Linked DNA regions of Stegostoma tigrinum. The protein of the gene in region 2 interacts with the protein of the main gene of each other region in a biochemical or structural test. Links are inferred from orthologs where the notes say so. Each region holds a gene or a part of one and is shown on either strand. Other genes may lie near its edges. The genes, in order: lnpep and poly [ADP-ribose] polymerase tankyrase-2-like.

The links.
Region 1: the proteins of poly [ADP-ribose] polymerase tankyrase-2-like (region 2) and lnpep form a complex in vitro, tested with the Homo sapiens proteins (4 studies listed by BioGRID and IntAct, with this or other methods). The link is inferred for Stegostoma tigrinum from reciprocal best matches to the Homo sapiens genes TNKS2 and LNPEP.

The regions. Positions count from the first base shown.
Region 1 is NC_081356.1:87,374,106-87,383,069, reverse strand, and holds the start of lnpep (leucyl-cystinyl aminopeptidase), read left to right. Parts: upstream 1-5,276; 5' UTR 5,277-5,818; coding exon 5,819-5,975; intron 5,976-8,964. UniProt on the Homo sapiens protein: Release of an N-terminal amino acid, cleaves before cysteine, leucine as well as other amino acids. Degrades peptide hormones such as oxytocin, vasopressin and angiotensin III, and plays a role in maintaining homeostasis during pregnancy.
Region 2 is NC_081373.1:43,618,645-43,628,027, forward strand, and holds the start of poly [ADP-ribose] polymerase tankyrase-2-like, read right to left. Parts: upstream 3,838-9,383; 5' UTR 3,714-3,837; coding exon 3,494-3,713; intron 1-3,493. UniProt on the Homo sapiens protein: Poly-ADP-ribosyltransferase involved in various processes such as Wnt signaling pathway, telomere length and vesicle trafficking.

The DNA.
Region 1 (8,964 bases), on a different chromosome or scaffold from region 2:
TCTCAAATCTCTCTATGCTGCAGCTTTCTGCAGTCTTTCACCATTTAAATAATGTTCAACTCCTCTATTCTTCCTTTCAAAGTGTATAACCTCACAAACTCCAACATTTTTTAACTTATTCATTTTGTGGGATGTGGCTGAGGCTGGCGGGCCAGCATTTCTGGTCCATTCCTAGTTGGCCTTGAGAAGGTGATGGTGAGCTGCCTTCTCGAACCGCTGCAGTCGTCCTGCTGTGGGTTGACCCACAGTGCTATGAGGGAGAGAATTCCAGGATTTTGACCCAGCGCTAGTAAAGAAGTGCCAAAAGATTTCCCAGTCAGAATGGTGAGTGGCTTGGAGGGGGTGGTGTTCCCATATACCTGCTGCCCTTGATTTTCTAGATGGGTTGTTGTCGATTCAGATGGTGCAGTCTGGGCATCTTTAAATTTCTGCATTGTATCTTGTAGATAGTCACATGCTGCAGCTACTAAGTGTTGGTGGTGGAGGGAGTGGATGTTTGTGGATACAGTGCCAATCAAGCGGGCTGATTTGTCCTAAGTGGTTTCAAACTTCTTGAGCATTGTTGGGGCTGCACTCATCCAGGCAAGTTGGGATTATTCCATCACACTCCTGACTTGTGCCTTATTGATGGTGGACAGGCTTTCAGGAGTCAGAAGGTGAGTTACTCGCCTCAGCATGTGGTACAGCCAATTTTTCATCATAAACTGCTTTGTATTTTTTGAGGAATCTCACTTTATGTCTCTGTCGGTCTGTCTCCAGATATGAAAATACAGTGTCTAAATTCTCTAATATCTCCAAATGTATTAATCTCATAGGAGAAAGTTCTTTTTGCAATTTCTCCAATTCTCTTTGGCTCTTCTTATTTCTTCCTCTACTGCACTTGGTACTTCACACTTCTGTACATTCTCATTGCCTTCTCTACTGGTGTCATTTTAACATCTTCATATGATAATCGATTTTTTCCCTATGATCTGGAGTATCAATTTAATATGTTATGTCACTAATCCTTTTAATTATTTCATAGGGACGATTGAATTTTGCTTTAAATGACTAACTTTGCAAAGTCAATGGTACCAAAATTTCATCTCCTGCTTTAAAAATTATGGTTGTCATGTGTTTATCCTTCCACTCTTGCATCCTGTTTTGGAAAGTTTTCCAATGTTCCCATGAAACTCTACATGATCTGATGACCTTCTGAGAAATGTGGGCACATGCTCATTCCTTTGTAAGTACATGTACCAGTTTAGCACAGTTGTCTCCAACCCAAACTTCTCACTCACAAACTGAATGTTAAATTTTACCATGTTCATAGTCACTGTTCCTTAGGAAATAGTCTACTCTCAGATCATTAAAACCTACCTCTTTTAGCTTTAGAAATGTAAAGTTCACTTTTTAGCATGAAGTATCTTCCTGTTTGTTTCATTCCATTTTTGATTTATCCACACTTTATTGTTTGACATTCCTGATTCTGAACTCTTTCTTCCTAACAACTTGCTGCCTTGCAAAGTATCTGAAAATGAAAACATTCGAGTATGGAAGACATGCGTTAGAATATTAGTATGAGAAGTCTATGGTTGGTAATATTGGTGACTGTAATTCCGAATCCGGTCTTTTTGAGACTTTCTTGGAGAACTTTACAAATTATGTAAAACATACAAGAGCACTTGTATAATACATTTGATTACTGCAAGATTTGCCTTTTAATAATTTTGACTCTGATGCACGATGTGGTGTTCAGCGGTGTAGAACAAAGAAGATCGAGGGTTCATGAATATGCTGCAAATCTTTTGATGTAAAACAGCCAGGAATTATAGATCGCCAGTGAAGTCAGGCAAGGTCAGAGTGAAGCTTCATATTTTGTGTAGTTGGGTAAATTCATAGCTAACCACTATGAAACAGCAACATGCAAACAGCCGGAGCAACCCAAATAAAAGCGAGGTTGGGGAAGAACCAACAAGCTCCCCGCAGTCAACATGTTTGAATCACAATAGCTAGAAAGGCTGGCGCAGAGTGTAGCTCCCAACAGCAGGACCGTGTTTACTTCGACAGATTACAACAAATAGAAAACCGCGTCTGCAAACCACAGGTCGCTCTGCAGTATGTAGCTCGTCGATCGACCTACAGCGCCTGGAGGAGGAACAGCTTGCAAGTGCAGAAGAGGAAGGAAATACAAGTTAAGATGGTCGACATCTGGCTGTCTTTCTTAAACTGTGAGATTTGCAAAGATGACCACATAAGGAAGAGTTGCCTGGTCGTTCAGGAGGCCTTGTACATTTAAAAATGTCCTCAAGGAAAGAGTAGGTGACATTTCAGCTGGCCCAGTCAGGATGTATTTATTGCTGTAGTCAGTAGGTGTTGTAGTACGGGCGGCTTGTTTATATCGTTGCCACAGTCTCCAATACTGCGTGCCTGGGTTTGCTGAGAAGGATCGGGATTAAGAGCGGAAGGCCACAGGCACAGCCATGGAGCCAGGTTTTCAGAGCGGTGAGTACACCAGGCTCAGTGTTGTCTGCCGATTTGTGACATCGTCTTTGTATCAATAGGTGGGTAAGAAATGTCACAAAGTTAGTAGCAAACTGTTGGGCGAAGGACCCCATGGAAATATTTGAAAGGGCAGACAAACATGCATCATCCAGTCTCAAAGCTGATACTGTGAAATCTAATTTTGCTTTTCAATTGGGGAACACAGGCAATTCATTTTGATGCTCGACTCGGGCATTGATCTGTCTGTTTATTTTTCCACCGTACGTGAAGTCTGTTTAACGCCCTCATTTCACGTTCTTTTAGGGACAAGCTGATGCACGTAGATAAATCACTCCATTCCCACTTTCCTGACTGGTTCCAACCTTTCCCTTAACCGCCATCCCACGCTTTCCCTTTCAATGGGAGTTTACCTCCAACCTCTGGAACAAACGGGATTTCTTGGAGCCGGGGTGGTTCACGTCTACAGTTACACACAGGTGTAATAAATGTAGGGCAGAAATCTGTTCAGAAAGTCACTTCATGTAGGTGGTTTTTGACCTGCAGACATTAACTGAAAGACTCCTTTGTTACAGACTTGAACTTTTTTTTGCAAGTTCTTTCTATCTTCTTGTATTCCATATCTGTTATTGCTGGGACGGCTCTTTTATGGTGGTATTTTATAATGCAACCGCCTGCTTCTGTGGAAGGTTTCATAAACGTTATTTCCAATGCTGTTTAAAACTAACTCCTGCTTCTCGTTTTACGTCTTTCTGCCAGCCGTTCCGAATCATAACTACGATTGACCATTCATGTTGCAAAACATTCTCCATTTCTGACTTGCAAGTCTTGCGAGTCTGCATTTGTGTATAGTAAAGGGAAATTTAAATTTTGGCCATAATTAACCTTATAAAATCCCATGGAAAAACTGCAAGTTACAAAGAGTTTGTATTTGTGGAAGCTCTTAAAATGAGTTTGGATATCATCCCAACCATTTATTCTGTGATTTGAATGACGGAAGCAATAGCTCACAATTATACAATATGTAAATTTTGCTGACAATATTGCAACTAAATGAAGACTTTCAATTTGATCTTTTCACGACTAAATCGAGCAATAACAGTATTAGAAGTCTAATGCAATAATTTTCACGTGATTTAAGAAAAGCTGATTTTTCAGTTCGCAACAGTTCCTTTCATTTGTGATTCCTTATTCAAAATGATGGCTTATGAGTTCAGATGGCATTGTGTTTGGAGGGAGGACAGTTTGCTTGCACTATTTATGATTGATGGGCCGCACCCTCGCTATGAAAGCAGCTGTCGTGCTTATCCAAGTCCCAAAGTGTGCAATATTCCTGTCTACTTGTGGTCATGAATTGTAAGTTTTCACGATAGTTTTTTTTTCAATTTAAAAATTCAAATTCTTAAAACTTTGAACAAGAATTATAAAACTTGTAGTAGAAAATTAATAGAATCCATAAGTAATGCACCTTGGTGTAGTTTCCGTTCGTGTACATTGGTGCAACATCCAGTCTGCTCAGCCAAGCTCCAGCAAATTGCATGATTGAAGTGTGAGAAGAGGATCTTACTGGAAGCTGAAGAAACACAATCTGGTAAAATGTTGGCCTCTTTTTTGACTTCGTATCTGGCAGTCCCCTAGCCTTAGATGTATCGTACATTCCTATTTTTGTCACACTTGCACCTGATTGGCTCACATTTTATCTCCCTTAAACAGCCAACTGACGGTGCGTAAACACCAAATGTGAATGGTGTCTGATGCCATCATTTCTGTCCAGGACTGAGGATGGGTGGAAGCAATGAATCGAACACATAAAATCTAATAATGACAGAAGCAAGTCAGATCAATAAAATTACTGCAAAATAATCTCTTGAAAAATCTTTCAGCTCCTGTGTTTTGTTTGTCGTTATTCAGTATGTAAACTTCAGGTTTCACCTACAATAAAAGAATATTTTAAACAATATTCCTGCTTTTAGCTAAATTTAAGTTTGCTGATTTGCACTGTTTCAGTCCTGCAACAGCTTTTTGTTTAAAATTCTCCTCATTTTTGATCCGTCTGTGGTCTTGCTCTTTATTTCTGTGTTGTGCTTGAAGGTCAATTTGTGCCTTAGAAGATGTTAATTTGTGCTTTGTGGCTTCATCTATTATATACATAAACTGATGATATGGGTACAATATTGAGATGATTTTGTTTCCAGCTATTTTGGGGTTTTCTTACCGTGCTATTTGTTTATTTTTAGGTTTCCTATTCATGTGTGCTGTTACTGATTTGTCAACATCTATTGTTGCCCTTTCTTCAGTTTTGTATGCGCAACTACTGATTTGCATTGTGTATGAGTCTGGAAACAATTTTTGTTTTGTAAGTCCGTGAACATTGTATTGTGTATGTTGTTTAACAAACAGATGTGTTTTTAATGGCCAGTATGATTGATCAAGTATTGACCATCTCTGAACTTGGCATTTAAACCTTACGTCTTGTCTCCAGGCAGAGAAAAGCCGAGAGAACTAACTACAAAGGAAATTTTGTTTTAGAAATGGTGAATATGATTTGCATTTGGATAAAAATGCTGTAACAAGATGAAAAACCCAATTATTCTTGATGACTTGGCTAAAAAGAAATTAAACGGACATGCATGAATATAAATTGAGATCTTGCCCGCATTCCTGCTGCTTTGGTATACTGCCATTGTTTGATTATTAACATACATTTAAATTACTTTGTAAATTCTTTTTATCTTGTTTGCCAGCATTCAAAAATCTGATTGTCTTTGAATTAATATTGCTGCCAATGGCATGTTTTAAGAGCACATTTATTTGGGGGAGTGTGCTTTAATGATGAACTTGTGAGAAGGCTGAAGTTATTGCCTACAGTCCATGCCACAACGTTTTTTTTCCCCCCTAACTTCTGACTCTATCCCTCTCATTTACAACTGCCTAAAATTGAACCAACCACACCTTTCAACCTTGGTGTGACATTTAACCCCAGGGTAAGCTTCTGATCACATATCTACATCCTCACAAAAATTAAGATTTACTATGCCTACCTGCATAATTGCCCAAATCCACAACTCTGCAGATGTCAAATGGCTGTCTTTTCAAAGCCTCGTCCAGAGGACCGGAGGACAGCTAATGCTCGAATATGCCCAAGAGGGTGCAGAGAAAATTTACAAGAAGGCTAGAGATTTTCACTTATCAAGAAAGATTGGATAGACAGAGATGACAAGGTGTGGACCTGGATGAACGCAGCAGGCTAGACAGCATCAGAGTAGCAGGAAAGCTGACATTTCGGGTCTGGACCCTTTAGAAGAAGGGTGTTACCTTGTTATCTCAGACTCCAGCAATGGCAGTTCCTACTATCTTGGATGGACAGGGGTTGTTTTCCTTAGAGCCCAGGAGATTCAGAGGAAACATAAATTATGAGAGGCTAAGGCAGAAAAAACCGGAAGAAACCTTTCCCTTTGATGGAGGGATCAGTGACCAGGGGTTATGGATTTATGGTAAGATTTAGAGGAGATGCGAGGAAAAGCATTTTCACCCAGAGAGTGGTGAGCATATGCAACTTGCAGCCTATAAAGGCAGTAGAGCAGAACTGCTCATAATATTTAAGAAGTATTTAGGTGTGCAGTTGTGAAGCCAAGGCACACCAGGCTATGAGCCAAGTGCTGGAAAACAGAATTAGAATAGTTAGATGGTTGTTTTTGACTGGCACAGACTCGATGAGCTGAAGGGTCTTTTTCCATGCTGTAGATCTCTATGACTCTGTGATTCATTTCTGTTTTTTATTACCTTTTAAAGTAGACTATTCCAACACATTCTTAGGTTAGCCTCTCATCTTCCATTCTCTGTAAACTCCAGGTCATTCTGTGTTCTCTTTTGCATGTGTCTTGATGTACAATAAGCCCTGCTCACCTATCACAGCTGTGCTATTTGTTGACATTGGCACCCAGTTAGGCAATGCCTTAATTTTTAAATTTTAATCTTATTCTCAAATCTCACCTTCATTGTCTTTCTCATTGTAACCTCTTCCAATGACAAGCCCTCAATTTCTCCAGTTGTTGCTTTTTGTTAATGCAAATTTTAACCCTCCACCATTAGTGACTGCTTTCAGTCTCTCTTGGCCCTAAGTTTTCTCTCCTTTGCTTTGTTTTTGTTCCTTCTCTGCTTTTGGGTGGCAACTGTTCATGATCATGTCAATCATGCTTCTAGACATATGCTTTGTTTCTTTTTGTTTTGACTTGTCTCACCACTAGTCATGGCCTTACACCATGAGCCTCTTTATTATTCAATCTCTCTCACACTCCACCCTGTTGCAGACCTCACCTTTCGTTCATTGCGTTCCACCGTCATGTTAATTTCCTCAAAAAATGTTACATTTCTAACATTGCCCAATTCTGATGAAAAATCACAGACTTAGGAAAGAAAATCCTACACTTTTCTGCTTAATCTTTAAGGTGCTTTTTAAACATTTCTCTTCATTAAGCTTTTCACCTAAGACCTTCTTTATATGGCTGTCACTTTTGTTGTGATAATGCTCCAGTGAAGCACCTTAGGATATCTGCTACAGTAAGGCTGCTTGAAGATCAAATTTGTTTGGTGTCTTTAGGAATGCGTTGTTACCGTTCAATTGTATAAATTATTTGAAGATGCTGCTGGCTAAAAAAATCATGAAGTAAATGTGCAATATATTGATTAAATTTAATCCAGCCAAGTGAATGGGAATTATTTGATATGGCATTGATCGCGTCCATTTATTAGTCTATTTTTCATTGATTTCTGCAAGGTTTGCAGCCTGGGTTTCACTTCTGTGATTTAATAAACCTACTGACACTGGTCTTTCAAATTCTTCAGCTGTGTGTGATTCATTGCTAATGCAAGTGTATTAGCTTGGTTTCTGAGCCACTTAAAGAACAGTGCACAAAATGTCGGCAAATATTCCTGTTTGGTACAAAGTACAACATTGTCGCAAGATTTCACCCTTTTAAATGCAATTTCAAGCCGTGACGAAATGCGTATTTCAGTTGTTTAGATTGCTATTCAGAACAGAGCAGGCCAAGCAGCATCTTAGGAGCGGGGAAGCTGATGTTTCGGGCCTAGACCCTTCGGTGTAGGCCCAAAATGTCAGCTTTCCTGCTCCTTAGATGCTGCTTGGCCTGCTGTGTTCATCCATCTCCACACCTTGTTATAACTTAGGGGATCATTGGTGGAACTTCAGGAAATTGAAATCATCAGGAGTAAAAAATGCATTGAATAAAATTGACGGATTAACTCCATCAAACCCCCAGGATCTGATGGTCTTTTTCCTAGTTCTCAAAGAGGATGTTTCAGAAATAATGGATACACAGTATTATTCTGCAAAATTTCCTAGATTATAGTACAGTTCTTATGGATGAGTGACTGTAAATATGGTATCTCAGTTGAAGGAAGGAGAGAAGAGAAAAAACAGAGAACTACAGACCAATTAGCCAATTGGGATTTAAGAATAGAATTATCAAAAGATTATTTAGAGACCATTGATGACCTGTCCCCTTTGGTGGTATGAACAGCTTAGTGTCCATATCTAAGCAAGGCTGCATTGCCTTGGAAGTCGGGCAGTGGAAATTCATGGGGTTAGTTCACTTGATTAGTCTCTGGGATGAAAGTATTATCCTGTGATAGTTGAATAAGTTTGGTGAATATGCTGAGAAGTTTAAAAGTATGAATGGTGATATCATGGAAACACACAAGTTGCTGAGGGGAGTTGGCTTACTGAGAGGTTGTTTCCTTTGGCTAAGAAGTTTAGAACATTGGGAAAGCGCCGACAATCAGTTAATCAGTTTGGACAAAGATTAGGACAAAATGCACTCAAATGGTTGCCATTTTTTGGAAGTGTCTACTTCGAAGATTGTGGATTATCCACTTTAAACATACTCAATAATGAGATAATTACATTACTGATCATTTCAGGAATTAAGGAAAGTGACAAGCGGGCAGGAAAATGGAATTGAGACAGAGGTCAGCCAGAATTGCATTGAAAGCAGGAAAGCACACATGGCCTTATGTTTTTAGAGAGAAAAATGGGGAAGATTTGGGGGAAAAAAACTCTTGTATTGATCATAAAATCTGACTTGACAATTTGGACACACTTAGCCCTTTCTTAGCCGTGCAATTCTAAGACTAGCAGCAAGATTGTAAAAGGTTAAACTTGGCTCTGCCACAATTTGTGTAGTTGACAGCTTCAAAATAAATTAACCTGCCATTGTCCTTTTATCTCTCAAATATTGTATACTAATTTTGACATTATATTATGCAGATTTTATTTTGAACCTCCAATATCCATTTGCGAACCTTGCATTGATGAGTCTCTCTTCCTGTCCTTTCATACCCTTCCCCCACTGTAGCATAAGTTAGGCAGTGCAAAGACTCAACTGAACAGACAGAATTTACTTTCTGGATTGTAATTATTAAAATATGTTGGGTGAATATCAGGTGGATAAAGTTTTTGGACCC
Region 2 (9,383 bases):
TATCTGAAATTCTCTGTCATCTGATGATCCTATTAAATACCTCCCCAGTTTCACACTTAATTGATTTTCTCCTCTGGTAATCTATCATTTCCCATTCTTCATCCTTTTATGTATGCAGTGGGATTGAGGCCCCATAATGTGGAGAACTACACACTGCATCAGGTACTGCACTTTTACACATTGTAATGAGCAGCCAGCCATCACAGACTACCGGAACACCAACACCACCCTCACCGCAGCTGCTGCCGCCCACCCCGATCCTCCAACGGCCGACGGAACCCCGCCCACACCGCAGCTGCTGCCGCCCACCCCGATCCGCCCACGGCCGACGGCCTCATCGCTCCGCCCACAACCTCCACAGCCAGCAACCCCAGAGAAGACAGCCACACTGAGCCCTGCCGCATCTTCACCATCCCCCCAGACCTCCCACTGACTGAGGACGAACGGTCAGTCCTTAGTAAGGGGCTCACCTTTGTCCCCCTACAACCACACATCAACGAATACCAGTCACGGTTGGACATAGAGCAGTTTTTCCGCCGTCTTCGCCTCCATGCCTACTTCTTCAACCGGGAACCTAACCCTCCTTCCACTGACCCCTTCACCCGCTTCCAACACAAGTCCTCCTCCTGGACACCACCCCCAGGCCTCCTACCCTCCCTCGACCTCTTCATCTCCAACTGCCGTCGAGACATTAACCGCCTCAACCTCTCCACCCCTCTCACCCACTCCAACCTCTCCCCCGCAGAACGGGCAGCCCTCCGCTCCAACCCCAAACTCACCATCAAACCCGCAGACAAAGGTGGCGCAGTGGTAGTATGGCGCACTGACCTCTACATCGCCGAGGCCAGACGCCAACTCTCCGACACCACTTCCTACCGCCCCCTCGATCATGACCCCACACCCGAGCACCAAACCATCATCTCCAACACCATTCACGACCTCATCACCTCAGGGGACCTCCCACCCACAGCCTCCAACCTCATTGTTCCCCAACCCGGCACGGCCCGTTTCTATCTCCTTCCCAAAATCCACAAACCTGCCTGCCCTGGTCGACCCATCGTCTCAGCCTGCTCCTGCCCCACCGAACTCATCTCCACCTTTCTGGACTCCATTTTCTCCCCTTTGGTCCAGGAACTCCCCACCTACGTCCGTGACACCACCCACGCCCTCCACCTCCTCCAGGACTTCCAATTCCCTGGCCCCGAACACCTCATATTCACCATGGACGTCCAGTCCCTGTACACCTGCATTCCGCATGGAGATGGCCTCAAGGCCCTCCGCTTCTTCCTGTCCCACAGGCCCGACCAGTCCCCCTCCACCGACACTCTCATCCGCCTAGCTGAACTTGTCCTCACACTCAACAACTTCTCTTTTGACTCCTCCCACTTCCTACAGACTAAGGGGGTGGTCATGGGCACCCGCATGGGCCCCAGCTATGCCTGCCTCTTTGTAGGTTACGTGGAACAGTCCCTCTTCCGTGCCTACACAGGCCCCAAACCCCACCTCTTCCTCCGGTACATTGATGACTGTATCGGTGCCGCCTCTTGCTCCCCAGAGGAGCTCGAACAGTTCATCCACTTCACCAACACCTTCCACCCCAACCTTCAGTTCACCTGGGCCATCTCTAGCACATCCCTCACCTTCCTGGATATCTCAGTCTCCATCTCAGGCAACCAGCTTGTAACTGATGTCCATTTCAAGCCCACCGACTCCCACAGCTACCTAGAATACACCTCCTCCCACCCACCCTACTGCAAAAATTCCATCCCCTATTCCCAATTCCTCCGCCTCCGCCGCATCTGCTCCCACAATAAGACATTCCACTCCCGCACATCCCAGATGTCCAAGTTCTTTAAGGACCGCAACTTTCCCCCCACAGTGATCGAGAACGCCCTTGACCGCGTCTCCCGTATTTCCCGCAACACATCCCTCACACCCCGCCCCCGCCACAACCGCCCTAAGAGGATCCCCCTCGTTCTCACAAACCACCCTACCAACCTCCAGATACAACGCATCATCCTCCGACACTTCCGCCATTTACAATCCGACCCCACCACCATAGACATTTTTCCATCCCCACCCCTGTCTGCTTTCCGGAGAGACCACTCTCTCCGTGACTCCCTTGTTCGCTCCACACTGCCCTCCAACCCCACCACACCCGGCACCTTCCCCTGCAACCGCAGGAAATGCTACACTTGCCCCCACACCTCCTCCCTCACCCCTATCCCAGGCTCCAAGATGACATTCCACATTAAGCAGAGGTTCACCTGCACATCTGCCAATGTGGTATACTGCATCCACTGTACCCGGTGCAGCTTCCTCTACATTGGGGAAACCAAGCGGAGGCTTGGGGACCGCTTTGCAGAACACCTCCGCTCAGTTCGCAACAAACAACTGCACCTCCCAGTCGCAAACCATTTCCACTCCCCCTCCCATTCTCTAGATGACATGTCCATCATGGGCCTCCTGCACTGCCACAATGATGCCACCCGACGGTTGCAGGAACAGCAACTCATATTCCGCCTGGGAACCCTGCAGCCATATGGTATCAATGTGGACTTCACCAGTTTCAAAATCTCCCCTTCCCCTACTGCATCCCTAAACCAGCCCAGTTCGTCCCCTCCCCCCACTGCACCACACAGCCAGCCCAGCTCTGTCCGCCCACCCACTGCATCCCAAAACCAGTCCAACCTGTCTCTGCCTCCCCAACCGGTTCTTCCTCTCACCCATCCCTTCCTCCCACCCCAAGCCACACCCCCATCTACCTACTAACCTCATCCCACCTCCTTGACCTGTCCGTCTTCCCTGGACTGACCTATCCCCTCCCTACCTCCCCACCTATACTCTCTCCACCTATCTTCTTTACTCTCCATCTTCGGTCCGCCTCCCCCTCTCTCCCTATTTATTCCAGTTCCCTCTCCCCAGCCCCCTCTCTGATGAAGGGTCTAGGCCCGAAACGTCAGCTTTTGTGCTCCTGAGATGCTGCTTGGCCTGCTGTGTTCATCCAGCCTCACATTTTATTATCTCGGAACACCAAGGGATTGCAGCCCTTTCTGGTTATGTATTTTTGATATTGTATCCGGAATAGAAAGCAGGTTCTTGTGTGGGATCTTGGGACTGCTGTATTACCTGTCTAGTTGTCTTGGGACTGTCTGGTGGTCAATCATCCCCTACCTGCAGTATGACTGGCTTAATAGAGTGGTAATGAAGCAAAAAACAAAAATTTTGCAAGTGGTATGAATGGCGGAATGATGAACAGTCGCAAATCAACATCCACAAAAAATTACATTTTGAAACTTCTGCACCAAGTTCACTTGCGGACTTGGGGCGAATCCACACAAACAGACAATATCTGATCGACGTGCAAAAAAGAAAGCAAACGGAAAATAAAAGAAAATAGCAACTTCACGTTTCAGCAAATGAATACGGGCCTCGACCGAGGCCGCCATACCGTGCTGCGGAGGGAGGGGTGCAGAGCACGGTTTTAACTTACCCGCAGCAAAATGCAAAGGGGTCGACTTGCGCCCTGCCGTGTCCCTGGCGTTCACATTGTCAGCCCTTAGCAGTCTCCTCACCCGGACCACATCCCCGTTCCTGCAACTCTCGAACAGCACTCTGGTCGGGTCAGGATGAGCTGATATCGAAGTCGATCGATGCTCCCCCGAGCTGGAGGAAGAGGAACCTGCCACTCCGGGGCAGCGACGAGACGCCATGGAAGCAGGTAAAGGGAGACGTGATGTTCTGCGCCCCACCCCCCACCACAAACCATCAGCAGGAGCAGCTCGAGCTCCCCCCCAGCCTTTTGTCCCGCGCGCAAGCAACGGCCAGCGTCACGTGAGCATAGCCGGCGACTGCTAAGGAAAGACGCATGTGCAGTTTTACCATCTCTCGGATGGAGGGGACAGCAAGTTATTATGTTCAGGTAAGAGTTCCCGTTCCTTCTCAGAAGTAGAAAGCAAGTGAATCGTAATTGGTTTCTGAAGGTAGCCTTATTCAAAAACGATATCCCGACCTATGATTTTAAGGGCACACCTGAGATTGCAGTTCGTAGATAGGCAGGTGGAGGGAAGCAAAGTTAACTCTTTACGAGCCTTCATCCTTTGATAATACCATGCACAACCATTTCCGGAAAGATATACCAGGTTCTCACCTTTTTGTTAAGCAACTGTTCGTTAAACTCTAATGATCTTCTATGATCAGCCATGATCATATCAAATAGCAAAGCAGGCTCAAGGCGCTGGGTTGCCTGCTCCTAGTTCTTATGTTTTTTTTCCCGCCTATCTACTCCTATCTTAAATTCCACCCGTACTGTGCTGTTTATACCGTTGTAGGAAGCAACTCCGTGACATCATTGTGAGGTTGCTCCATGGTCCTAAAGCTCTGCCTACAACTGATGGTTAGTTAACTGGAATATTCAAGGGTATGGGGAATTAACATGGAGGAGGATGGCACATTGTCGTAACACTCATTCAGAGAACAGGTGCAGACACGATGAGCCAAATGATCACCTTCCTCCTACGCCGTAATCGTGAGATTCAGTTACTTTTTGAAAGCCATGATCTTGATAAAAGTATTGGGCAACGTTAAAGAGTCATATTGTATTCAAACATTAGCCCTGTTTCATATTTCCACAGATGCTGCTGGACCAATGGGGTCTTTCCTTTGTTTTTATTTCAGATCTTCAGAGCATGCTCAGTTCTTTTGTTCCTATTATTGTTGTAGCTCTTTTATTGTTAATTAAAACACAAAGCTGTTATGACACTCACTTGAATGTACATGCACTAAGAAGTGATATCATCCCCCTAAAATTTCTCAATTGAAATTACACGCTTTTATGTAATATCTTGCACATTAGTCACAAATTATCCTGAAATTATGCCAAATCTGTCTACAAACTGTAATGTGAACAAATAATTTGATTTCACTTAAGAGTTAAATTACAGCAATACCCTCCCTTCCCCTTGGAAATTACAGTGCAGTACAGTCTGCCCTGGAACCATTATGTGAGAGTTTGTAGATATTGAGACTGATCCGGAAAGCCAGATTTGCAGTAAACACCACTGTTTTGATGCACAACTCAAAATCCTTTGATTTCAAGATATTTCAATACATAAGATGGTAGGAATTTCTGGTTAGTTTTTGCCTGGAATACAATCACAACTTTGATGTGCAAAAGAAGGTGAGAGTCAGACTGTTACAAATGTAGAAATTGCTGCAGAAACTCAGCAGACCTAGCAGCATCTGTAGATAAAAAGCAAAGTTAACATTTTAGGTCCAGTGACCCTTCTTCAGGAAGATGTTTCTCCAGCAGTTTTGGTGTATGTATCAGACTTCCAGCATTCCTTTTGTTGTTTTTGAGCATCTCACTACGCACAGTGGCAGTATTGTGGCCAATGGGGTTTAACCAAGGTGCGATTATTGCTTATTGAAAACCGCTAGCAGAGTAAGGTCAACTAGGGGGAGATAGAGGAGGAGATCCTGCAGACACTGTTCTGTCCAACAGGTACAATGTACTTGATATTTGTTAGGGTAAGCAAAAAGACTTGGGGAAAGAAGTCACAGTGCTGACTTCGGCACCATGGAGCAGCAAGGTGTTCAAGATGCAGTTTGAGGGAGGCAAGGTAGGAGGACCAGAATAGGAAAAATGTACTTCTAGAGGACTCACTCGTTAGAAAGATGGTTGGCATCTTCAGTGGTTACGATTGAGAACCTCAGCAGGAGAAATCTCAGTGTGGCTGGAAATGATCAGATCTAATGATAACAGGGAAGAAATGGAGTAATTTCTCTTGATGGAATATTAGGAGTTAGGAGATAACCTAGAAGTCAATGGCTCAACTGTGATGATCTCAGGAATATTACACAAGCCATTTACTAGCTGTCAGAGGGCAAGAAAGAGCTGGAAGATAATCATGTGACTAAGGGTGCAGAAAGCGAAGTAGTTGCGGTGATTGGCAGTCAATCATCACAGCCCCAATGACCATTTCTAACAAGAGAAAATTCAACCATAACCTTTGACCTTCAATGGCATTGCCATTGCTGAATTGCACATGATCAACATTGTGGGAGTTACCATTTGACCAGAAACTGGTGGCAGCAGTTTGTGTCATTGACAGATGCAATGCAACTATAACAACTCATCAAGTATCCTCACATTACACTTTGCAAATGCATGACCACTACCATCTAGAAGGTTGAGAGCAGCAGATACACAGAAACAGCACCACCTGCATGTTACCAAATAGTTAGAAATGGACAGTAAATGCTGGCCGAGTCAGTGACAGTGACCCTTATTTTCTAATTAAATGTAAAATAACCTAAAAGGGTGGTGTGAGGTGGCGTGGAATTTTGCAGGGTTCTGGCAGCATTACAGAGACAGCAGTAATGTACCACTGAGAATTGTTCTGAACAGAAAAGAGAATTAGTGTGAGAAAGGGACTTTACAATAATAAATGAAGGAAAGGTGCAGTCAGAGACAATAATAAAAATGTAACTTTAAAATGGAATAACATTATAATTAAAGGAACAAATATGATACAGATATTCCAAGTGAAGGGATTACTGAAGTAACTAATTATTACAGGAAAATTGTCATATGGGAACCTTGTTACAATGTGAGAAAGACAGGATCACAGTGAAATGACAAGTCATGGTCCCTTGTCAAAACAACAGTTCTGTTTACTAATGAGAAGATACCAAAAACTGCAGATGCTGATGTCAGTCAACATAGTGTGTGCTGCTGTATAAACAAGTGTATGAACAAAAGAGATATAGCAGGTGATGTCATTATGAATAGTTGGCTGAGTTCTAACAATGGCTAATGCACCTAGGGCATTATACAACTGCAGAGGTAAGGGAATTTGTTGCTTGATTGATATTTCTGTTACCTTCTAAGGGTCTGCTGTGACTTTGAAGAGTATTTCGACTGCTTTTTTTTTAAATTCAGGATTATTTATATGCAGGATTAAAAGGTGTGGGTAAATAAAAATATCTGACTTTGAAACTAGATAGGACTGTGACTGATTATAGCTATATGAGATGTTAAGAGGCCAATATAGTTCAACATAAATATTGAATGCCCTTTTTTTCTGTTTTGATTACTTGAATCTGTTGTTCCCACTGGTTCACAATTTCTCTGAAGGGTTGTGAACCATGTCTATATGCCAGAGGGGTCCAACTTCATCGAAGTTGTGTTTGGGGAGTTGAACGGCACCCAATGAAGCCATCAGGGGAGGTGTTTCTACACAGAGGATTGCTACTGCATCCTTGTCCCACGTTGATGAAAACAGCTGGAAATGGAAATAGGAAGCTCAGAATCATATCCTGCCGACCATATTTACATAGCTCTCAAATCAGTCCAGTTTGGCAAAAATCCAGGCTCAGGTTGTACAACCAAGCATTGATTATGGCATGATTATTCGTTATCTCAGTACCTGCACTCTGTTCACATAATGATTGTTTTCTGAGCCTGCCCTGTCAGCAGGCATGTTGTTTGCTGTTAACACAAAATCTCAAAATGCCTGAAATTAGTATTCCATCAGATGTAGAAGCGAAGGACTTTCAATAGTCATGGAACCATTACGTATTATCTTAGGAAGCAGAAGAAAAGAGAAAGAAAATAACCTTTAAACTAGAAATCTACAATCACTGTACTTTCATTATTTTATTGGAAATGTCTCTGACACAATTGACCAGCATCAGGAGGAAGCAATAAAAAAAATCTCAAAGATAAGGTTTGAAATAAAACCTTCCACAACTTTTATTTTTCTTGCTAGAAGGTCCTCTATTTCTGTTATAACAATGGCTTTCACTAGAAAACACTGCTGTACTGTAGAATGTATTTTAATAATTGCTGCCTTTTAAATAAATGTACCGTAGCAACAATGATAAATTTAGGCCACTCCAATGCATATGATGATATCAACTGTGCGATGATAGGTGTCATGTTCTGACTTTGTACTTCTAGACAGACGTCTCTTATGCTGAGTGTGTAAATCAAAAATGTATTCGTGCACAGTGTTTCTTTTCTGACAACCTAATATTCGGGTCTGTGATTGTTTCCTTGGTAATGTTTATTGATTGCTCACTTTTCTATGAATTGAATTGTACTTTAGAGGAAAAAAACCTGGAATTTTTTGAGCTAATCAGGATCATTTTAACCCTATTTTACCTCAAACTGAGTTATGTAGAAGGGCTGTTCTGATGAAGAGTCACCAGACATGAATCATTAACTCTGCTTTCTCCGCACATATTCAGCCAGTCCTGCTGAGTTGTGCCAGCAATTTCTGTTTTTATTTCAGATAGTCATAGAGTCTCACAGCATAAAGACAGACCCTTCCACCCAACTCGTCCATTCCAACCAGACTTCTCAAACTGACCAAGCTCCATTTGCCAGCATTTGGTCCATATCCCTCTAAACCCTTCCTGTTCACATACTCCTTCAGATGCCTTTTAAATGTTGTAACTGTACCAACCTCCCCTTCTTCTTCTGGCAGCGCATTCCATACATGCGCCATCCTCTGTGTCAAAAGGTTACCTGACAAGTCCTTTCTAAATTTACAGTCTCTCACCTTAAACCTATACCTTCTAGATTTGGACTCCCCTAACCTTGGAAAAAGACATTGGCAATTCACTCTATCCATTCTCCTCAAGATTTGAGGCTCCGGGGAAAAAACCCAGTCTGTACAGCCTTTCCCTATGATTCAGACCCTCCGTCCCAGCAACATCCTTGTAAATGTTTTCTGCATCCTGTTAAGTTTAATAACATCCTTTCTGTGGCAGAGCGACCAGAATTGTACACAATATTCTGAAGTGGTCTCACCAATGTTCTGTACAGCCCACAACATGATGTCCCAACCCCAATACTCAATCTTCTGACCAATGAAGGCAAGTGTACCAAATGCCTCCTTCATCACCCTGTCTACCAACTATTCCATTTTCAAATGCCTCCTTCAGATGTTCCAGGGATAGGGACAGCATTGAATGGAATACAGACTAAAGCACACTGTACTCGTTTGAAACAGAAGGCATGCTTTCTTGTCTTTGTTGAATGAAAATGGGGAAAGCAAAAATAAATGAGAAATGGCTCTCCCTTCACTCCGTCCCCACTATTTTCTCCTAGGACAAGAAGAGACCAAAATATAAAACATACTTTGCTCAACTCAGTTGAAATCAGATTTCTGCTCTGGGCCCATCGAAAGCAATCAGGACAAGGACAATGGGGTTTCAAAATCCAGTGGAAAGTTTCTCTACTCATTTTAAGTTATAAAAAAAACTCCCTTTGCAGCAATTCCATCAAGCACACCTGGCATAGAGACTGTATGGTTTTTAAGTAAAAGTCCCATTAAACAACCCTCTCCCACCATCCTGTCTCCTACCCTTAAGCT